2 linked regions of the Styela clava genome follow. Each later gene encodes a partner of the first gene's protein in a complex. Links are inferred from orthologs where the notes say so. Each region holds a gene or a part of one and is shown in the gene's direction. Other genes may lie near its edges. The genes, in order: methylmalonyl-CoA mutase, mitochondrial-like; methylmalonic aciduria type A protein, mitochondrial-like.

Region 1 (12,088 bases):
CTATAAAATCATTTCAGACTGGCCTTAGTATGCTGGTGACACAAAAAAGATGCCAAATGCCAGGACAAATGTAATTATTAAAACATTGAGTTTATACTGTAGTATTTTTGTTAATTTTAGGTTCATATATTTAGATTAAGTTATTTTTAGTGTATGTATTATTCTTTCCTTATTCAAAGCTTGTTCAAAAATGATTTTGATGGTTGTACATAGAATTTTACGATTTTTTATAATAAATACTGTAACTTGCAAATGTTGCAATAATAGTGGAATGCAAATATTAATATGTAATTGCATTTGAAATTGAAGAAAATAATAAAACTTAATCCAACTGTTTAGTTGCATCACAATATATGTCACAAACTAAAACTATCTTAAAAATATCTTTTAAGTATACATTATCAAAAACTGTTTGCGGCTCTTTTTACAATTTTCAAAATGCAATGCGGCTCTCGAAAACCCATGAGTTTGACACCACTGATCTATTCTAGACGATTCAAGCATTGCTTTGGGAAATTATATCACTTCAATTAAATTGAAATAATCTCGCTATATTAAATACAAAATCGTTGCTATCATAAAGGTAAACCAATTCAGCCACTCGAAATATATTGGCCTTCACAAAGCAATGGAGGCAAAATTGAGAGTTCATGAGCTATGAACATTTGTTCTTTTCTTTGTCTTGAACTTTCCATACTCCACAGCCCATATTAATTTTTTTTAATTTTAATTACCATGTGATGGTCATACATATCTTTAACTTGTATTTTCTGTCATGATGTATTATCTCAATGTGCCAAACTATTAATTAGTGTGCATATTTTGCTTCCAGATGACATAAATGTATTGTCATGTTTATTACCTCAGCTTGGAGTATTGACAAGAAAAAGGTGCCAGTAAATTAGGTAAAAAAATTTTCAACTCATTGTTATAATCAGAATTCACAATCAATAGGAATTATAAACAGCCAACAATCAGTGAGAATTATATGCGAAATCCCTCAGAATAAATTTGTCTAAAATCGGAGGAAGGCAAAAAATATAGGTAGTTTCCATCCACACAAGCATTTCAAGAAGACTTGCTCGAGCCAAACTAAATGAGCATCGTCAGGTGATCGGTAAGGCTGCAAGCTGAATTCAGCCCTGCAACCTCCTGCATAGAAGATAATATTAATTAGTGGGGTATGAGCTAAATTCCTAAATTTAAACAAACCTATCTACGATGCATTATGTACCAGCAATGTTACCTACGATTAACTGAATATGTAATATGTCTAATAAATTCACCTACAAAAGCAAGTTCGATAGGTGCAAACTTTGTGTTATGGAATTGTATCGCAGAACAGTTTTGTATGACACCCTCTTTAAATGAAATTTCAATGATTAAGCGCAAACATTAAAATTACTAACTTTGAACTTTGTCATTATCTGCAAAATGTTCCACACAAATCTTTCCGCTATCGCGTTTGTAATCTTCTCTGATAAAAAAAAAAACACTATGATGTCCAGAATTGCTCTTTACAGCTTGCCTGTTATTCCAGCTTTCCAAGTAAGCAAAACTTCTTAGATATAGAGATTATTTTGTTTCGTTACAGGCGCAAAAGGCAGGTACTACACGTAAAAAAGACGCCGAGTAGCAAAAGCGAGCGGAAAACGGACGCGAAAGGCGACGAGAAATATGTGCATTGGAGCGTATCACGAAATACAATGTTTTGCCTGTAGTCTTATGGAGTGACGTCAGAGTTGCCTATCATGTTGTTTAATGTCATTGCTCAAACATAGTAGTGTGAGGGGGGAGTTGACTTTGATGATCGCGTGGTCGTATCACTCCCTCCTATCTATACCAAATTATTTTATTGTTATAATTTCTATTATTTCGATGACTGCTATTCTACTTTGGTTGAAGAAATAATTAAAATCTTTCTCTGTGTCCAAAAATACAATGCGCTTGACCTCTCCTGCGATTTTCAATGAAGCATACAGTCACGTGCAAAAATATTGTCATGCTTGGTCAGTTTACACAATTTGCTCTCAGACTATTGCTGTTTCTGTCGACTTTCAAGGTCGCATTGCTGAAATTATTATAAAATGGGAAATTCTGGAAGTAGCGACGTTACATTGGAACGAGAAGACGACAAATATGTATTAACAGGTGATGGGATTAAGCTATCTCCGGCTTTATTGGACCGAATGCTTAGCCAAGAAACGGAGAACGAAAACAACGAAGATGTCGAGCGGGTTAGAAAGGCGGCTGCTGATGTTATTGTCAAAGAGCGACAAAAGCTGGAGGAAGTCGAGAGGGTTGCAACTGCAACTCGAGAATTGCTGCAGGAGCGGGAAAAACAGATGACTGATTTGGTGGAAACATGGAAGGATAAACTGGAAAATGAAAAACAAAAACATAAAAACTTTTATGACCTCACTATTCAAGAATTTGAGGACGCTGTCAATCAAACCGAAAGTAAACTTAGAAAACCTTCGTTAAAACCAATATGTGAGAGTTTTCGAGATTCTGTTTTACAGTGTTACGCAGAAAACCCCAAAAAAATTTTAAACTGTTCTAAAACTGTTGCAGAATTTACTAAATGCGTTGAAAATACAAAACAAGATCTGTTAAATAGGAATTAACTTTAGAGCAATTGCAGGTAATTTTTTGGTTCAGTGCTGTACATTATCACACTTGCATAGAAGATATAACTTACGTGATAAAGCGAATTATCAGAATATTTCTATCTTGATTGAAGTGACATTATTCCTGTATTCTGACAGTTTATATAAATCAAAATTTGGTATTTTAAATATCTTGATTCTGCTTGTTTCTTGTGTTATATTACAGACTGCAAAATGCTGGTGACGTGTTTTATTTGGTATTCCAAGACACGTTAAATTGACAGGATATTTTTTACTGTCATTTCTATTTCAGTTTCTTATTCTTTTTGTGATGCAAAAAGGAACATATTTTAAAGGTTATCCTGGAACTGGAGCAATATAGAAAAACACTGAGGCACCAAGAATAATAGTTGTATTATTTCTATTAGCAGCATGACATGCACCTACTATGTCTTGTTTATCAAATCAATCAAACAATCAATTTATTCGGTAGCCTATTTTTTCTTGTGTTAACATTTACAATTGATATTCATACTTTGGTTGTTGATTATTGAATGACTATTTTATTGAATGTTTTCATTTCCAAAGTTTCATAATCTTCAATAATCAGCAGAACTCTAATAATTGTGTTTGCGTTTTTCTCCATCTTTCTGCTTATGAGAGTGCTATCGTTAATTGATTGAAAAATTTTATGGGAAAGGAAAATTTGTGCCATGGATTGCAAACATCTTGACAAGTACTTTTCTTTTTTCAGTAACAGTGTTGTTTTAAAATAGTTGAAATTATTATGACACTCGGCAATATTTCCTATATTAAAAATATGTGAACAATGGTAAAACATTCACTGGTTGGCTGGAAGCATGAATGCTACTTTCTGGAGATACACAACAAGAAGAAAATTGATTCTACTATTCTGCATCTTGGTACTTATTCTTGTAGTTTTTGAGATAAAGAAATCGTCATTACTTTATGGAACTAATAAGATTAAAAAACCCAGACAAATGTCATATTTTGAAACGGCGGAGGAGTCTCATGTAGAAGTGTATAATGGATTTTTAACAGAAGAAGCGGAAAAATGTGAAACGATACAAATTGCAGTTGTTTGTGCTGGATATAAAGCGAGTAGAGAAGTCGTTACTTTGATTAAATCTGTGCTTTTTCACAGACACTTGCCCATTCATATGCATTTTATTGTCGATGCACCTGCTAAGAAAATATTGGGTACTTTGTTTCGGACATGGGATGTTTCGGATTTTACGGTTTCTTTCTATCTTGCTGATAAATTAGAACCAAAAGTGTCCTGGATTCCTAATTTGCATTATTCTGGTGTTTACGGCCTAATGAAATTACTGTTATTGGATGTTTTACCAGTGGGAATTGATAAAGTAATAATTCTGGACATCGATTTAATATTTCTAGAGGATATTGGGAAACTCTGGGATCAGTTTTCTCAATTTGTTGACAACCAAGTAATTGGTCTGGTTGAAAACCAGTCGGACTGGTATTTAGGCAAAGTGACCAAACATCCTTGGCCTGCCTTGGGACGTGGCTTCAACACAGGCTTGATGCTTTTACACTGTGAAAAACTGAGACAGATTAAATGGAACGAAATATGGGAAAGTGTAACAAAAAAAGAACTGTTGACATTTTCTGCAACCGCCCTTGCTGACCAAGATATAATAAACGCTGTGATTAAGGAACATCAAGATACTGTTTTTATTCTTCCCTGCTTCTGGAATGTTCAATTATCTATGAATACAAATTCAGAATCGTGTTATGGGAAAGATATATCAAGTATCAAAGTTCTACATTGGAATTCACCATTTAAAAATGAATTACAGAACATTCATGCCTCGTTGTTCCAAAACATGTTTTATAGTTACGCAGTGTATGATGGTGCACTATTGCGCAATCCTGTTGGCAAATGCACCGAAGTAGAAGAAAGCAGAGAAGAATTTAGCAAAGATTTTTGTCAAGAAATGTTGCATAAAAGTGTACAGCTGCGTAGAACACATTTATATTACCTTCCTTTTGACTACATTTCTTCCGATCACACAGATGTTACTTTAACTCTTCACTTATCGATAGATCGAATCCCAATGTTAGATATTATATGTAAACATTGGGAAGGTCCGATCAGTGTTGCAGTCTTTCTAAGCGATTCTGACACAATAAAATTACTTAAACATATTGAAATTTCTCCCACATTATCAAATCGTAGAAATATTGGTTTTCATTTGGTTTTTCAGAATTTTGATGATACTTCTTATCCTATTAATCTATTGCGTAATATTGCTTGGCAGCAAGCAGTTACTGAATTTGTATTTTTATGTGATGTTGATTTTTTACCTTCTGATAATTTATATGAGCATTTGAAAAATGCTGTCTTGCCATTGTATCCAAATTCTTCAAAGTTTGCTTTTATTATTCCTGCTTTTGAAAGTTTGTGGCACAAGTTTGATTTTCCGCCTTCGAAATCTGAACTGATAGACCAATGGGATAGAGGTGTAATAACACCTTTCCGATCATACATGTGGAAGGTTGGCCATGCCGCAACAAATTATACAAAATGGAGAAATTCCAATAAGATTTACTCGGTAAATCGAACAAAGGATTTTGAACCTTATGTTGTGTTACCGAAACATCTTTGTCCGGCTTATGATAAAAGATTTTTCGGTTTCGGTTGGAACAAAGTTTCTCATATAATGGAACTGGATGCTTTAGGTTTTAAATTTTTAGTTTTACCTTATGGTTTTGTCATTCACTTGCCACACATGGCCAGTCTTGACGTTGTAAAATATCGCTCATCAACTGAATATAAGAATTGCATTGACAACCTAAAGGTTGAATTTATACAGGATTTAGTTGTTAAATATGGAGTCAGTGCAGAATTTTTTTATTAAAATCCTGTCAAACAGTATTATTTGCTTATTCAGCATAATTTTTTTCACTTTTGAATATAGAAGCTACTGATTGATCTGAAAGTCACTGAATTACCAACATTTTTAGCCTAATTAAATAAATGTCATCTTTTTCTTTGTAAAAATAAAACTGCCTTCATTACTGCGTTCCAAACTTGCTGGTCAAGTGTATATTTTTTTGTGAAATTTGTGTTATTGAAAAAGGCTTTTATTAATTCTTATTTAACTTATGACAATTAACGAGAACATGGTGTAGGGTCATTGCACTGATTTCTCTTCACTGTTGTCCATTGTATGATGCGGTAATCACCTTATTAACAATGTTTACATATGTCTAATATGTTGTTCATAAATTGGCCTCTGCAGCCGATTTAATCATTTGCATATTCAATGTGTTGTAGTTTGCTCAAATGTCAGAGAACTATAAATAATAGATGAGATCCCAGATTAATATATGGGCTTGGTATATAAGGGCAGAGGTCATGTAAGCCACACTAAGATAACAAAAACTACACTAATCTTCTTGCATATAACCATCCCCATGAGGTTGAAACCTGTAGAATGTTATGTGTGGTATGTTCCTAACGCTCCGACAGCACAACGGACACATATTGTTTTGCATGAATTTGTACACTCGCTATTGTGATATATTTTCTTTTGAGTAATCTTACTGACTATGGTGCTTTTTTGTATCTGTTTAAAATTCATTTTGCACATTCATTTATATCTTTAGTTGAAGAGCAATCCGTTAGAAAATGAATTTAGAGATGCCTACTATGTTATAATATCTTTTTTTTTGGAATACAGTTTTTATATTTTTGAGACATTTCTGTAAAATACCTGTTCTGCATTTTGGTATAATTGTCCTTTGCTGTGTAATTTCATAATAAGTGTTTGGTAATTTTAGAAAATAATAGCAAAATAATATTTTCAAATATATAATACCACTTACCAGATACAGATAAAGGGAAGGCTGCTGTAAATTTAGCTATGAAAACTCTTCAAGTTCTACAAGTACCCTTGTTTTAATTTTTGCTGTTCCGGTTAAAATATTAAAAATCATAATTACAATAGCAAACTCACATGATGCGTTTGATATTGTTGTTGGTTATGCTTATGACACTGGTGTTGACATCCCAAAGAGAAAGCACAAGCTTAAATTTTTCTCATCCTTGTTATACCTAATCATATTTTGGTGCTCCAGGAGTGTGTGTACCAATCTGGCAGTAACTATTTTCGTTCGCCTACTTTACATCAAGTTGTGTAAAAGGACTGAAACATATGGGCTGGGGGTATATTCACTTGGCTAACACAGACAGTCCCCGAACTCGTAATAGAACTAAAATAAGGAAATCGGTATAAAATTATGCCCTAACCCTAACATGGTAAACACACTACGGGAGTATCCATGTTTTAATGTCAATTCATATAAATTACTTTTTTACCGTCTTATCATTTTCACTGAAATGACTTTAGGCTATCAGTTAACATCAATATGCTGGTATTAAATTTTTTGAACATATTGAACTTGCCTCAATTGTCGATTTGTGATAACTTATTATTCGACAAAATAAGTCTCAGCTCAAGCCCGAAAACAAAGCAAAAAGTGACAGCATCAGCACTTGCATATTCAGATAACATTATTCCGAATAGTTATGCTTGAGTTGTTTTTGGTGGTTGAGTCCGAATGGTACTAAGGTAACCCAAACCTCTAATTTATGTCTCGATTCATATTTTTATTTGTTCATGTTAAATAATGTGTTTTCTTACTTTGACTCAGTATTAAAATTTTGTAACTCAAGTGATTTGTCTTCTTTTGTAGAAACTAAAATGGATAGAATAATTTTTACAAAGGATTTGTTAAAGATAGCAAACGTTAAACGATTATTCCTAAAATCCATCCGCTCTTCATCGAACAAAAATCCTCAGCTGCCTTTAAATGAAGAATGGATGGCTTTGGCAACAAAACAGTTAAAAGGAGCTGACCCAGATAAGAAATTAACATGGACAACACCAGATGGCATTAAAGTGAAACCACTTTATTCGAAAGATGACTCCAGCAACTTTGAAGATGAATTACCAGGTATTTTTCATACTAACCATCTAGGCCTGATATGGACAAACTATGGCCCGCGGGCCAAATCCAGGCCCAGGAACAAATCCGGCCCATTGGGTAATTCAATCTGGTCTGCCTGATGTTGCCACAACCAAACAAACGTTTTAGCTAAAAATAGCTCAAGTTATATAATGAGATTGCAATTAAATTTAGTTTTCGCATGAGGCTTACTGTTTTCCACTTTTGCTTTTGTAACACTGTAAATATTGCGCATAAAATGTAACTTTTTACGTCACAATTACATGGCCAGCCAGTTTAGGTGGGCACGCTCACCCCTGGGTTGAACTGTTCTGTCTGGTTAAAGATCCCAGTCTTAATTCCCATATCCACTCCTGATTTATAAAGTTTTTGGGCAATGCCGAACCTGACCAACCCTCTTCCAAAAATAGCTTTTTCTATTTCAGTGACTTCTTGTCTTCCTTGTTCCTTCCATAAGCAAAACAAAAAATATTTACTAAATTTTCAGGCAAATATCCATACACCAGGGGACCATATCCCACGATGTATACAAACAGACCTTGGACTATCAGGCAATATGCAGGATTTAGCACTGTTGAACAAAGTAATAAATTTTATAGGTGAGTCTGTTACTGCTTCTTTATGTTTAAAAAGGCATGGGTAAAAATACATATGGGATTTTTTACTGTTGTCGCTGCGCTAAAAAATCTTGCGCCATTTTGCCCAGTGGCCGGTGCTCTTTATTACCGTGAGGCTAAGCGATGGCCTTTCGCTAAATTTTTTGTGTGGTCCAGCTAGATGTCTTAAGTTGGTTATTTGGCCCACACCGCACACCGACAAAAAATGTTGCACACTCCTTTATTAGAACAATCTCTTGGCACTAAAGTTGGTAATGGCCATTTAAATGGCTTTCAGAGCTATGTTTGGAGAAAACTCATTAAACGGGTGAATTTACCATTCAAATTGAAATGATTTTCAGAGACAATATAAAAGCTGGGCAGCAAGGACTGAGTGTTGCTTTTGATCTGGCAACCCACAGAGGATATGATTCAGATAATATAAGAGTGCAAGGAGATGTTGGAATGGCTGGTGTTGCAATCGACAGTGTGGAAGACATGAAAAAGTAAGCTAGATTGATATTTGAATGGAATAGGAGTGGGTACAGGGTGTCCACCATAAAGTGTCCAATTTTGTTATGGAGTCAGTTCTCAATACCGGGTTTGTTGTTTTTCGATCAGTAATTGTTATTTTTACTTCATTTAATACATCTATGAAGGCCAAAGCAATATATGGAATCGATAAATTCACTTTGCAATTTGAAAAAAATTTAGAGACTTCATTGACACCATATATAATAAGTTCTTTCATGTGTTTTGGATGCTCAATTTTATTTCTTTCAGTTAGTCCGTCAATGACTGCATCATAGGCTCAAAATTTGGAGTGTCATGTAAAGTTTCCGCTATCCACTATGTAGCCATTTATAAATTCCCCGAAATATCTCCTCTGCGTCGACCTTCTTGATACCCTGAAACCACTCATGAATCTAATAAATATACTCTATCTAGTAACATTGAGTTTTATTACAATTAAATATAAGTTGATGTGGAAGAGGGCTTTGGGAATTCTATTATTGGTTATTACATTGGTGACCATTAGGGCATTGGTCATGATTGGTATAATTTATTAATGCAATAGGCATACCAGGACATGGTAAAAGTTAATGGCATAGTGTTAGCACATTGGATTGGCCTGTCCCATGCCCATAATCTTGTACAAGGTAAATAAATTAGGTAACATACAGGTGGAATGTTACTGCTTGTCTTATTTGCATTGGCAGTTCACTTATAAAAATCAGTGGATTGGATGTGAACAGTATATCTATTGGAATTTTTACAGGTTATTTGAAGGCATTCCTCTCGATAAGATGTCAGTATCAATGACAATGAATGGAGCCGTCATTCCCATCATGGCCATGTTCATTGTTGCTGGGGAAGAGCAGGGTGTGAGTGCTGATAAGTTAACTGGGACAATACAGAATGATATTTTGAAAGGTGGGAGAAATATTTTGTCATAGTATAACATGTCAATAATTGTTGCCTTCAAATAAAAATCCAATTTTGTGAATATAACAGAGCACTATGTAACCGAAAGTGAGCGACATAAAATAGTAAAATGAATTTATTGATTGAGTCATAACACAGCAAAAAAAATACATTTATAATAAATACAATATGTAAAATATGCAATCCCATATTAGTTATGTTTAACACAATTATGTTTATTCTCGGGGCACACCTAGCAAATCACCGTTGTGCACTAGCGCCCTCTTTGGAAACCGTTGTCATAGGCCTTCCTTAAGATCTGCGATTATTATTAGCAAAAAGTGCTCTTAGCCCTTGGCCGAAAAGCATTAGAGTTAGAAATTTCAAACTACAGACTATAAGAAATTTGCAAATACAACTTTACAACTCTGTATATGTATATTTTTGACAGTGGATCATGATTTTTATCAAATCAATATCTTGATGTAAAACAGTTTTCATTCAAAATATTTAAAACAATATTTATATCCCGCTAAGATTTCACTTTACACAAGCAGTGAGTGGTAAAAATTTCCATTTTCAACCACATCTATGGCCCAAGCCACAGAAGATGTTCTGTGATGCCGGTACTTTGTCCTGCAAAAATAACTTGATATTACCGGTAATATGATGCACCTTGTATGAATCATGTATTTGTTTTTCCAGAATTCATGGTAAGAAACACTTACATCTATCCTCCTGAACCATCAATGAGGATAATATCGGATATATTCGCGTTCACTTCAAATAATATGCCAAAGTAAGTAATACATACATTCTGGAAGTTGTGTTTGTTTGTTATAATCTGCTGTACATTTGAGAGCTAGCTCACATGCAAAGGCACATTTGATCGAGAGAGGCAGAAGTAATCGAACTTCAGTTCCCCAATGTCATGGCATGTCTATGGCACTACGTTTTCTATTAATTGAATAGTGTGCAGTCCTGTACACTACTCAATCAAAATCACATCTGTATTTTTTTGGTAACATTTCTCTTTCAAATTTTTTTTCATGATTGAAGATTTTAATGTTTTTAGCATAACTCTGACTAATTTCACTTCCATCATCCAGCATTTTGTTCTATAATCCTCAACACTTTCACTGAACCCCTTCACACACACCCTGGTCGCTACTCCTGAAGTATGTGAACCAAGATGGCGGACATCGGAACGTAGTATGCATACCAGGTTAGGGTTGGGCCATAGTTTTTTTCCAATTTTTCTTATTTTAGTTCTATTACCGGGACTAGCCGAGTGGCTCTCGTAGTATTTGTACCTGAAATTAGGGCCTAACCCTAACCTGGTGCACATACTACATTCCGGTGTCCGCCATCTTGATTCACATACTTCGGGTAAACCCCCTGGCCATCCTTGACATCTGCACTATCAGAATTCATTTTCACCATAAGATTTATGTTTCAGGTTCAACAGTATTTCTATCAGTGGTTATCATATGCAAGAAGCCGGTGCTGACACCGTTCTTGAATTAGCCTATACAATTGCTGATGGCATCCAGTATTGCAAAACTGGAATTCAGGTTAGTAAGTGTTCAATTTTGATTTATTTTCTTCATGCTTAAATAAACAAACCCTGATAGAATAGTTGCAAGCAAGCAATCTCTGAGAACTTGCACTATTCAGTCCCAATTAGTGGAGAGGGAAAGTTTGAGGTGCAATTTTGTTTTTTAGGCATGAGCCATCTTATAAACTAAACTGAATTTAATTGAATTTATGTTCAATTGAATTGAGTTTATCTCAGATTTGTCTCATGTGACTTAAGGTGTGTGTCAAGGAATAAAATCTAATATTTCAGTATTGCTTTTCGAAAAAATTTGTTATATTGAGTAATCAAAGTTATTCTAATTTTCTTTGAAATCCTGATCTATGTGCATTCATTATAATTTTTTTTAAATCAATTTAAATATTGATACTTAATGGAATATTTATTATAAAGCCTTTATCACCATAATTTTTCATTTCATAATTATTTTATTTTTTGCAGGCAGGTTTAGACATTGATAACTTTGCACCACGATTATCTTTCTTCTGGGGAGTTGGAATGAGCTTTTATATGGAAATAGCCAAGATGAGAGCAGCTAGAAGATTATGGGCTCACCTTATCACAGACAAATTTCAACCTAAGAATCCAAAATCATGTTTATTGCGAACGCATTCACAGACTTCAGGTATTGAATTTGATTTTTTCATAGGCCTTCACTCTGAACAAGACTCAAACAGAAAGTACTATGTATATATGGCTACTTTCTTTTGGAAGAAATGGAATCTTTCTGGTTCACCATTGGCCATCCGATTTATTACATCTTTGGTGAGGTCATGGGTCAATGCTTCAACCACCTGTGACCATCGCACATTTTCTTTGAAATTTTTAACTCGATAGGTCGATAT
Region 2 (11,968 bases), on another chromosome or scaffold:
GTAACATTCACAGGCATTCATTAAAAATGTCTCCTCTATGAATATTCGAAGTGTATGCCATGTTTCCCCCAAAATAACACTGGGTTTTATTTCAATTTTCTTCCAAAAAATAACACTAGGGCTTATTTTCGGGGTATGTATTATATTTTCATTTACCGAAAACAAACTTACAAAGTAGAGAATTGCGAGATTTTGAAATATACAAAATATGAAAACCGATATAATAACACTTTTTTATTCAAAATAACTGCAAAACATAGACTATCAATCATTTAAAATGAGTAGAAGAGATTGCTTGCAATCGACTAGGTTAAAAAAAATTTTGCGTTATTGACTAGGTTTTATTTTAAGGGGAGGGCTTATATTGAAATCATTTTTAAAATTCAGGCTAAGTTTTATTTTCGGAGTAGGTCTTATTTTTGGGAAAACACGGTTATCAACAGTGAAAATATCATCATCACAAAATCTTACTTTCTAATGCTCCTTCAGCAATCATCAATGCTTTCATTTTTTCTTCTTCTATTCGTTGACTATTTTCATGTTCAGCGTTAGCAGCAGCGTATCGTAACATTTCAATAACACCATCACATTGTAGTTGGTTGCCGTCAAGAAAAAATTCTCGTACTGTTGTTTTGCACAATACTTCACCTAGTGGTTCACCACTCTTTGGCGTTAACCCACAATAACAGAGGCTGATAGAGAGCATGATCTATCAAATAAAAATGAAGAAATAAAGGAAGATAGATTGTTTATAGTTCTAATGAAGAGGGGAGAGGAAGGTCAATATTACAGCTTGATCATATTCTGAACCACAGCAACTCCTCTTGTTACCAGTCCATATTTGGTATAGATTAGATGGCCCAGTTGTTTGTTGATATTGGAGGAAGCCATAACCGCTATGGCGATTCGGAGTCTCGCAATTTTCTCGCACATATTTAACCCTTTCCATGCGATTTTTATCTTTTATTAAATAATCGTATTTGCTACACCGACTTTATGCATTTGTACCCCCACAACTAATCGATCGACTAACGAAAAAGTAATGATCCTCTGCTGCCCACTGACGGCTCGTTGGAAAGCTTATTTAAAGAGCTTGCAATTGGCGATTGAAAATTTTATTTTTTCAAAAGGGGTGGTCTGAGTCACAAACCGGATAGAAAAAAGGCATTTTTTTTCTTGGGTGTTGAAACTTCAAACCGTGAAAAAAAATAGAAATATTCGCTAAATCCTTTACTGTTACCGCTTCTTGGTTGGCAAACAATAGCATAATATTGCTGTAGCAATTTCGTTATCTAACTCAAAATACTTTGGTAGATGGAAGGAATAATATGTCTTCTATTACCACCCAAAAAACACCGAAATTTGCATAAATTTCAAAAATACTCCCTCGTTCCGCCGCAAATAAAATTCCCATGGTAAACGAAAGCGAGATTTACCGTCGCTTATGTTAATCTCGAAGAAGACTTCTTATCAATAAACTAAAACCCGGAAAAACTAGACCAACAGTTTGCGACCGATTGCTAAATAAAACAGTGGAGTACATCAACGTACCCGCCGCAAACTAGCGAGTTTTGTCGTGGGTACGTATACGTGCCCACCGCACAGAAAGGGTTAATAACCCCACAAGATTAGAACATGCGAACCAATGCAGGGTAATCAGAGGTGCGGTGGCAAGCGTATTCCTAGCGCTTGAAACGATTTACCAAACCGCCGAGCCGGCAATGTGGACATAAGATATAAATTACCACGTCAAATCTTCAAACACTGAATGGTATAACTTTGTATTTAATATAGAATAATTTTTCAGTGTAAAATTACACTTTTGCATTAGCATTGGTGGGCATTTTCACATCTTATAATCGATATTGGAGGATGTTTCAAACTCCCAAGGGTGGAAGTAGAAATTTCAGACCTAAAAGAGTCCTAATCTGTGACAACTTGAAAATGCAAGTCAATGTATCCCTTTGTTTATATATATATCTGCAGTCAAGCGATGATTGCTGTAGCATTTTAAATCAGACACCAATCATTGCTGTACTGTAGATGTAGTGTGTTAATTCTTTCAACTTTATTCATTTAACTATTGAGCCGCTTACTGTTAGCATCAGCAATTCGATACGTATTTGTTTTCTTGTTTAATAACATTTACTTGTGTTATATTTTACTTTAGATTCATTCTAATTTCTGAGTGGGCTTTAAATTTAAGTTGAATAAAGCCTTATATCAAGGTACTATATTTCTCATTCATTACTTAATCAAAGTCAAAATTTTGGCCAAAACTGAAAATAAGGAATTATGTTGACAAAGCATGATCAACACACCACAAAAGAGTCAAAAGTTCTTCGCAAACTAAAGTTGGAGTCATAGTTTTTAAATTGCTCAGAGTTTGGAGTCAGGTTCAAATTACTATTACTAAACATCCCAGTACATCAATGATAACAGTTACCTTGTTATTCTTGAGTCCATTGCATAAACCAACACATCCTGCATCACCAAATTCATTGTAATCTAAGTTGATTTCAACAAGATTTGAAACCCTGAATGCTTTAGAAAATCTGGCAACAGTGAAATGTTGAATGTCACAATCCATGAGCTCAATTCTTCTTACTGGATAAAAACCTTTTTCCAGAAGTAGTGCCTGTTATGAAATATTTAATATTATCATTAATTTAGAAAGCAAATATTTTTTCACTTTCATACACATTTTTGGTACTTCCGTAATGTGTATACCAGGCCATAATTTTATTTCGATTTTCCTTATTTTAGTTTTATTACGAGTTCAGGAAGTGTCTGCCTAATACCATTTCAGGGACTGTCTGCGTTAGCCAAGTGAATATACTCCCTGCCCATAGGTTACAGTCTCTCTACACAACTTGATGTAAAGTAGGTGGACAAAATTAATTACCTCCATATTGGTATAGATACTTCTGAAATGCCCATTTTTTTCCCTGAAGACCATTTTTAAATATGATATTATAATTGTTATCTATTGTGATATATTATGAAAAACAGCTCAGTGTTTGGCGCATCGTGCTAAGTGTTAGGATCATGTTTGATCCTAATAAATAAAATATGAGTCGACGAATAAAATAAAATTACCAAGTCAGCAACTTCATCATGTTCTGTTTCTAAATCCCAGCAACATATTTCATGAACATGAGTGAATCTTTCGTTACGAATTGATCGGACGACAGGTCGCAACCTTACCGGAGGAGTATTAGGATCTTTCATTCCTACATCAACTTCTTCAATAATGAACTAAAATGGAAGCGTAGAATTTTATTTAAAATCAAATATTTTTTAAACAAATTATTACTCTGATGAATAGAAGATCTTCTACCTTACAATGACTGGTAACAATACAATGGTTTATCATTTGAATGAGGCCTCGTATCGGCTTTTTCCCACATTAATTTATAAAATCATATACATATTATACTTTTACCGAAGTGTTTATTCATGGGATAGGGTAGCAGACGAACTAGAAATTGAATTAAAATATTCAGCCCTTGACTGACATTCTAAACCTAGCATTGACCATTTTGTTGAGAAAAACCTTTTTGGCCCATTTCAATTTTTATATTACACTAAACCGGATAGAAAGAAATATTAGACAAAAATCTGAATACTGGCCATAAATATAGCTGCCGAATTTTGGCAAACGAGTTCATAAAACACGAAGAAATAAAAAAAATAAAAAATCGCTAATGTTATTGCAAAAATTTTCGACCAATCACCTTTCTCGCATACATTCTATCTTCAATTCCTTTCTTCAATGCTTTTTGTAACCAAACACAGGGTATGGATTTATCAAGCGTGCATTGCATTTCATACGTTCCTAAAAATTTCTTCTGATAAATATCTGAATCTTCATCCCATTTCACTCTTTTTGATTTCTTTTTCCCTCCCTTTCCTTTTTTGCCCTTTTTCGCCATTCGATTGTTTATTTGCTTTTATGAAATTTAACTTGGAAATCTATGACATAATGTGAATCTATGAAAAAGAAATGCAGGATTGACTGTAGCTTATTATATTCATTACCATGTTCCGAGCTTTTATACTTATCCTAGGATGAGAAAAACCAACCATTTCTATAAAAAAATTTAAACCTTATTCCTATTCTTTGATCTGATTTTATCATTTATTTTACTCCCTATTTTGCAGATTAATATACCTTTTTTACCGATTAATAGAATGAACAAACTACTGTAACCGATTTTGACTCATGATTCAGATTAGGTAGTTATATGAAGTGACTGAAAATTTCTATTCATGAATATTAATTCGTACGGGCAGTTATAATAGTATAATTTTTTTTGTAAGTTTATATATAACTTATATTTATAAATTTATTTATAAGTTTATTAAGTTGAAAGTTAAAACTTTGACATTGGATTGTAATCAGAAATATCCATCCCCCTTCGTGTTTAGTTTAAAAAGGGTAACTGTTCTCCCCAATGATAAAATCTAATGCATACCTAAATTTACTGAAATATTTACGAAGCTGAACCTCGTAAGGGTTGTGAGTTGTAACCATGACAAAGGGTACTTCAGCGTAGGGGAATCCCGTTACATTTTCGCATTTTTCTTGTGCCGTGTTGTCATCTTAAAACCAAAAGTATTTTGCATTCCTCATCTAAAATAACATGATTGTTTTTGAAATATGTAAATACAAATATTCAAAATACAAATTATCTGTAAACAACGACTTTTCCCAATATTCATATTTCTTATCGCTATATGTCGCTCGTGTAGCACGTTGGATCTTGTGAAAAAGCCATGCCTCCCTCGCTGGCAATGTGGATGCATTGGAATTTTGGGGGATTTCCCATGTTCCTGTCAAATTTGATGTCAGGCTGACTTTTATTATTTATATATACCGACGAAATGATAAAATTTAAGACTTAAAATGAGCATTTAATGATTGATTCATAGCATGTAGATCAGCATATTTTTTTTTATGTAGGCAGGTTTAGATGAAATTCAATATGACACATTCCTGCATTCTGAAACCCCCATGCTCTTCTATGACTGTATGACCATTTCTGCATGTTTGTTCATTTACTGATTTAAATTAAAAATTGAATTGAAAACGCTTATTCCCGTATTTGGCCATTATACAGTTATATCAGTATATTAAGTTACCTATATATTTTCATGGCTCATTATTTTTTTAGTTCCAGACAGTTCTAAATAAAAATGGCAGAACTATTGAAAAGCAGTCAAATATGTGTGCCGGGGGAACGTCTCGCAAGTGCTGAACACCATCGGGCAGGATTTGGAACTTATGTAAAACGAGGATATATATTTGCATCATTAGCTGGCATGGTTCGGAGCGAACAAAATGACAAGGATATAATTACTGTATCTGTGCGATCCAAGCACCATCAACAACTTCTCCCACAAATCGATTCCATAGTCACTTGTAAAGTCACAGGAATCAGCGGTCGCTTTGCAAAATGTTTAATTACAGCCGTTAATAACGCGAGGTTGTCCGAGCCATTGCGAGGCATCATAAGACGTGAGGACGTACGTGCAAAGGACATTGAAAAAGTTGAAATTCCGAAATGTTTTCGTCCCGGTGATGTAGTTTTAGCAAAAGTTTTGTCACTAGGTGATGCATCATCTTATTTGTTAACTACAGCGGAAAATGGACTCGGTGTTGTTCTTGCACGTAGTGAAGCCGGAGAACTGATGTTGCCTATCAGTTGGCAAGAAATGCAATGTCCTGTTTCGTATGTAAAAGAATCGCGTAAAGTTGCAAGACCACAGGAACATTATTTAAAACAATAAGATGTAGATTCTGGTAAAACATCATTGTTTCCCTGTCTTCTCAGTAAAAATCGGTGATGTTTCATCCTTCTCATTTGAAAATATTGCTCTCTGCGAAGTCAACTATTCCAATCATGTCGGTTACTAGCATTTCAATATAAATTCTCTCCTTATTAGAACATTCTTTGTTATTGCGTATTCTATCGTATCGTTTGATAGAAAGTGCTGCAGCTATTTACTTGGTTGGTTTTGAATATTGGAACTATAATTTTGCAGTTAAATTCATCAAACTTCGTTTAGATGTGTAATTTTCAAACTTGCCTATTCTACTAAGTATAAAATCTTAGTTTAAGTTACAAATAACATAATAAAAATGTGTGTATTTATTTTCCATGGATATTCACATGTTGCTCCGAAATTTATTATTTTTTGTGCCATTCCCAGTAACACACTATTTTTGGTTGTCCTTATTATCACTATTTTTAATTTTTATTAAAATTTTGGCATCTGATTATCAAAACAAATTAATGAGGAAATGTTAATTAAAATGGGTGGTCTTAATTAAAACAATATTTATAAATGAGTAAAGAAAAACAGTTCCACAAAAAAACTTCTGATTAAGCTTGAAATGTTATCGAAGAAATTCTAAGTTTCGCTCATGGAAAATAAAAATGAGTATTAAACAATATTTATTATCAACATTCGAAATTGGAAAGATAACAAAACGATTTGTTTGTAAATTTTTTTTTATAAAAGAATTGTTTCTCTCTGCATTCATGTCAATATTGACAAACTTATTTGTAAATTTGAATATAGAAAATTCAACTTCTGAAACTGAAAAATCTGTCCTTGTTAAAAATAGTTTCAAAGTCATGACGATTTATTTCAAATTGAATTTCCATTTTGTATGAATTGTCTTACATTTACAATCATATCTTTTTTTCCAGGTCAAATGATTGTTAGATAGGGAATACTTTCTTTATTTCCAATATGTTAATTTTCAAAAAGCTGTCGTTGCGGCCGTTTCCATATCTTTCAGTTCGATTCAAATCTTTAAAACCATACTCTAAGCACGCATTTTTATCAGGTGATTATGACATCACAAAGACATTTCCTAAAGACTCTTATGAATTTAATTACATACGAAACCTTGCTAATGGAATTAAGAATAAAGATCGGGCCACACTCGCTCGTGCTATAACTTTAGTTGAATCAACAAATAAACAGAAAAAATTGATGGGACAGATTTTGCTACAATTGGTAATATCGGAAACATCAAGATCTTCGCAAAAATCTTTTCGAATCGGACTTTCTGGACCCCCAGGTGCAGGGAAGTCTACATTCATTGAAACAATGGGAAGCTACCTTACTGAAAAACATGATTTAAAAGTCGCAATTCTAGCTGTAGACCCCTCTTCAAGTCGAACAGGGGGGTCACTTCTCGGAGATAAAACAAGAATGACAAACTTGTCTCGTAATCCGAAAGCATACATTCGTCCTTCACCTGCTCAGGGTACACTAGGTGGTGTAACACGAAACACTACTGAAGCTATGATATTATGTGAAAGCGCTGGTTATGATGTCATAATAGTAGAAACCGTCGGTGTCGGTCAAAGTGAAGTCGCGGTTGCAGACATGACTGATTTATTTGTATTGCTCATACCACCAGCTAGTGGTGACGAACTTCAGGGCATCAAAAGAGGGATTATAGAGATGACAGATCTAGTAGTAATAAATAAAGCTGATGGCGATTTACTTCCAGCTGCTAGAAGACTACAATCAGAATACACGAGCGCTTTGAAATTTATACCACGTAAACATAATTTTTGGAGACAACGGGTACGCAGAGTGTCATCTATAACAGAAGAAGGTATCTCTGAACTGTGGTCCGTGATGCAAATATTTCACGAGGAAATGATTAAAAGTGGGACTTTTGAATCATTGCGTAGAAATCAAAGAGCCATTTGGATGTGGAATCATATAAAAGATAATATTTTGGAAGATTTTGCGAGTGATTATGATGTATCGAAAGCGCTTCCAAGTTTGGAAGAACAAGTTAAAAATTGTAAAATGACTCCTGGCCTTGCAGCAGATTTATTATTAAACTGTTTATTTAAAAAAGATGATAAAAATAGATAACATGAATGCAGTTCATTTTGCCGTTTTTCTTCATTCTTTAGTACTTTCCTATTATTTTGTTTCCATGATGTATGCTGCAAAAAGGCCCTGTCCATTCTTAAGTAGTGAAGTACAATATTTTCTAAAGTGGGGGGTGTGGTACACATTTTTATAATGAATTCTAATTACCTCCGTGAGATTTTAAATAGTACAGACCAGAATTACTAAAAACCTGTGGCAGTTGACCAATTATAGACAAACTGATTCGATAATGAGGTTTCAATATGTATTAATTTAAAGATTTTTATGCATGAAGGACATAAAGTAATCGAGGCATATGATATGGCTCATTAGGGTAGAAAATTTCAATCAGAATTGCATTGATTGCAATTAATAATTGATTAACTGACTATGGATACATTTTTCAAATTTAGGAATATTAGTTAAGGAGAAATGCTATTAAACATGGGACGCAAATCTAGAAAAAAAATAGTTGATGTACATTTGATTTCTTCGTTAATTTACCATTATTCATATCAATTTATATCTGAGGAAATTTAATGCATGGCATGATAATTGAAATGAAATATATCCGGAAGCATGCCAGCATTGTAAACTGGATGTATATTTCCTGTTGTAAGCTATTCAGGAAATGCTGCACTTGTGCTGCCACTCCCTGCTTCAAACTCTTAGTAATATCGACGCATGAAATCCAAATTGGGCTAAGTCCATTTTTCTAGTTTTGAGAAAAACGCAAAAAACATTTTTTTTTTTGTTTCTTTTTTTTATTTCTCTAATACCTTACATCAAGGATGTCTAGTTTTTATGGTCCACCAAAGTTACAATGAAGGCCATATTTAGATGGTATAAAAAAATTTGTGCTCCGCCCCAATTTTTTTTGGGGGGTTTTTTTTTGGACTTAACCCTTTTTGGCTCTCAATTTTCTGGACCAGAAACAATTTTATTGGACTTAGGGCCCCTTTATTATGTTATTATAGAGGCTGGTATGGACTTAACGCTTTGTATTATATTTTTTGAGAGGAGCTATGTCCAAAAAATGGACTTAGCCCCAACTTACAATGCAGTTATCAAGAGCTAAGTCCACTATAGTAGACACAGCTCTGTTTAGTTCTCAAATGCCCTAAAAAAAGCAGGGTTTTGTCCATAGCTGTCTTGAGATCTAGAGCACCTCGAGATAAGGCAAATAGACCAAAATGTAGAGCTAAGTCCAGGAAAATCAGCAATTGAAAAATGTCATTTTTTGGAAAAGTGGACTTAGCACTGTTTGGTTTTGAGGTGTCGATATAAACTATTAAGATTCAATAGGCTTAGTCTAGTTTTGTAGGATAGGTATTTCTTGTGTTTACTTTGAACAATACTCCGAACGAGAAGGTATTATCCTATTAAGGAATTAAGTTTGGCTCCTATTACTTGATGGAGTTTGGATCAAAGATCTGAAACCACCGATGCAATTTACTAAAGTCTGTTGCATATAGGCAGGGCATTCTGGTTAGGCTCTGGAATTCTTCTAAGAAGAGTTGAGTGTGACTGGTGGTAATATTCTGAACATATGTATATGTAACATGCGGTCAGATCTTGCTAAAGAATACTAGTTTGCTTATAGCGGAACTTTATTTAATGCATGTCCGACACAGAATGTAACTTATTCTTGCAATTTTGATGCCTGTGAAAGCGAAAGCATTTATTGTTTCATTATTGTTTTCTAAATTGAATATCCTTATATAAATGCCGGTACTATATAACTTATATTATGCAAAGTATGCTAATAAAAATCCCATTATATTGTGGTAATTTTTACCTGGCATTTACATGGTTTTTCAAGGTTGGACAGGGCTTAAAAATAAGTTGTGTATTGAATTACATGTAATAGCTGGGTAATTTTACAGCTTATATCTAACAAAGATGGCTCAAACTTGCGAATATTAAATATAGTTTCACGTGTGACTTGACCTATTGTTTGCCTTTTTTATTTTTGCTTCAATAAATTATGGTCTGATCATGCATGGATCATACTAATAATATACAAAACAAATATTTTAACTAGGTTTGATAATGATAATGTTTTTATTTGTTAAACTTCAGGTTTACTATAGTACTTTACAAATGAGAGACTCCTTAAACTTGATTCCACAAAAATAAAAAAAGATAAAAAGAAAGGGTATCCATCCGTGTATTTATATTAAATCAATGATTGAAGGTTTGGTGATATTGATCGTACATACCAGTATTCTCTGTGGAACAGTTAGATCGTGATATATAAATCGTTATATTGCGCTATGAAGGTCAGTAGACTTCAGATGGATTGGAATAGTCGCTAGAAGATTTTATAGAATGATTTTCCAAAATTGTTATGTCTACTTGCTAGAAATGCAGTATAATAACTAAACTTAGAAATCAGATTATGCCTCAATTATTGAGGTTATATTAAATCGATTTTTTATTGGTCATTTGCACAAAGTAATCTCATGCGCAATCAGAAATAAATAAGATTTATCACTGAGCAAAGTTATGTCTTTCGTGTAATAATGGACATTTAAGCATTTTAGTTAACATCATTGTGTGTTTAATTGTCTCATTAGATATCAAAATGAATAAATAAGAGGTTATAAGACAGGTCTCACATGTATATTCTTTGAAAATATAACAGTTTAGAAAAACTAGTGAATTTATGTATGTGTACTGAGAGAACACGATTTATTCAAGAGTCATAAATTTTTAATAAGTCTGTATTTTCATATTTTGAAGCCTGTAATTTTCTAAATAAGCTTATTGTCGTGGAAACATAACATTGTCCCATGACACTCATAATAGTGTAAAATGTATTCCCCATTGACTCAATGTGACTTCTTGTTTACTTAGAGAAGTTTACTCTTTATAGAGAATCTCACTATTTCAATACGATTATTACAAATAACCTTACCTGCTTTTGTTTGCTAGGTACGTCAAATTTTTATGTCATCTCTCTCTCGTGCGGACAAATAAAACGATCTTTAAATAATAGAGAGTTGCCGTATTCACTTCAAATAGGATGGCAAACAATAGGGAAGGTGTTACGGCAGGCACGAATGAAGATAGCTTGTATTTATTAGAAAATACGACAGGAACATCGTCACTAACACCTGTTGAAACTACTGCGTCCGGTATGTAATTTTTTTTCAAATAGGCTTGTTATTTGAACTGTTCTGATGAATTTTAAAGTAGAATCTTTATCATGGAAGTCTGAAAATAAGAGATGATATTCAAGTGTATTAAAAAATTTTGATTAATTCCTGATTTTGAATAGATCTTAGATTATACATTAAAAAATTTGTCATCTTGAGCATTTAGGACAAAAAATGAAGTTTGAATCAAACGTATGTTCTTGTTTAAAAGAGAACATGACACATTGTTTACACCTTATCATTTTATTAATTATTATGTAATAACCATTTCAGATTTGTATATATATTTGATATTCCATATTTGAAATTATTATTTCGGAAATTATTTGGAACAGTGATTTACATGCTTGTGTGTTATTAAATATTGTTCTACTATGTGACATAATCAGGGCTTATTTTGAATTCTGAGGGGTATTTGAGTGTCGAAATGATTGTTATATAACCTCTTGTTTATTAACGAGCTGCAAAATAAGGATAATACTTATAAATTAATAATATATATGATAAATAAGTGTAGATTAGCAGTAATAATCTGTGAAGAATAATTTCAAGCCTCCTAATTCTATTTCTGATCTAACTGAATCTTAAGGTCGATCTGCTCTTCATATTCGTAGGCATACATTGGATTTAGAAAGTGGATACTCTGATATAAATATATAGGCCTATTATCACAAGGCACACTTTAAATATTTTTTTTCTCTGAAATCGAATTGAATACTATCTGAAGCAACTGGATTAAATCGTTAAATAATTAATATATGATTTTGTTCATTTGTACGTATTTTTTCAATTATTCGTGTACTTAACACATGACAATATGTAAATAATTCTTATTGAATTTTTCTCATGGTGCATGGGTCATTTACCGAAAGAATGTCGCTCATAAGAAACACACT

The links.
Region 2: the proteins of methylmalonyl-CoA mutase, mitochondrial-like (region 1) and methylmalonic aciduria type A protein, mitochondrial-like are in contact, whole or in part, in a crystal structure (PDB 8GJU), measured with the Homo sapiens proteins. The link is inferred for Styela clava from reciprocal best matches to the Homo sapiens genes MMUT and MMAA. Residues at the interface, in NP_000246.2 of Homo sapiens: Lys496, Glu609, Arg610, Glu611, Gly612, Arg613, Arg614, Arg616, Ala635, Thr636, Ala639, Asp640, Gly642, Phe643, Asp644, Val645, Asp646, Ile647, Gly648, Pro649, Leu650, Phe651, Gln652, Glu656, Gln659, Gln660, Val662, Asp663, Ala664, Asp665; in NP_001362573.1 of Homo sapiens: Arg98, Ala99, Ala102, Glu103, Thr106, Glu109, Ser110, Thr111, His112, Ser182, Ser186, Gly187, Gly188, Ser189, Leu190, Leu191, Lys194, Thr195, Met197, Thr198, Ser201, Arg202, Met204, Tyr207, Ile208, Arg209, Pro210, Ser211, Pro212, Arg214.

Annotation. Positions count from the first base shown.
Region 1 is NC_135259.1:18,877,850-18,889,937, reverse strand, and holds the start of methylmalonyl-CoA mutase, mitochondrial-like, read left to right. Parts: upstream 1-7,276; coding exon 7,277-7,613; intron 7,614-8,112; coding exon 8,113-8,224; intron 8,225-8,583; coding exon 8,584-8,727; intron 8,728-9,500; coding exon 9,501-9,655; intron 9,656-10,351; coding exon 10,352-10,445; intron 10,446-11,105; coding exon 11,106-11,220; intron 11,221-11,684; coding exon 11,685-11,868; intron 11,869-12,088. Other genes in the region: MICOS complex subunit mic25-a-like, read left to right, coding at 2,088-2,627; xylosyl- and glucuronyltransferase LARGE1-like, read left to right, coding at 3,470-5,512. UniProt on the Homo sapiens protein: Catalyzes the reversible isomerization of methylmalonyl-CoA (MMCoA) (generated from branched-chain amino acid metabolism and degradation of dietary odd chain fatty acids and cholesterol) to succinyl-CoA (3-carboxypropionyl-CoA), a key intermediate of the tricarboxylic acid cycle.
Region 2 is NC_135261.1:9,031,365-9,043,332, forward strand, and holds methylmalonic aciduria type A protein, mitochondrial-like, read left to right. Parts: upstream 1-6,758; 5' UTR 6,759-6,762; coding exon 6,763-7,911; 3' UTR 7,912-9,993; downstream 9,994-11,968. Other genes in the region: uncharacterized protein LOC120329759, read right to left, coding at 472-709, 2,447-2,638, 3,100-3,258, 3,738-3,935; exosome complex component CSL4-like, read left to right, coding at 5,200-5,793; uncharacterized protein LOC120329316, read left to right, coding at 10,940-11,051. UniProt on the Homo sapiens protein: GTPase, binds and hydrolyzes GTP. Involved in intracellular vitamin B12 metabolism, mediates the transport of cobalamin (Cbl) into mitochondria for the final steps of adenosylcobalamin (AdoCbl) synthesis.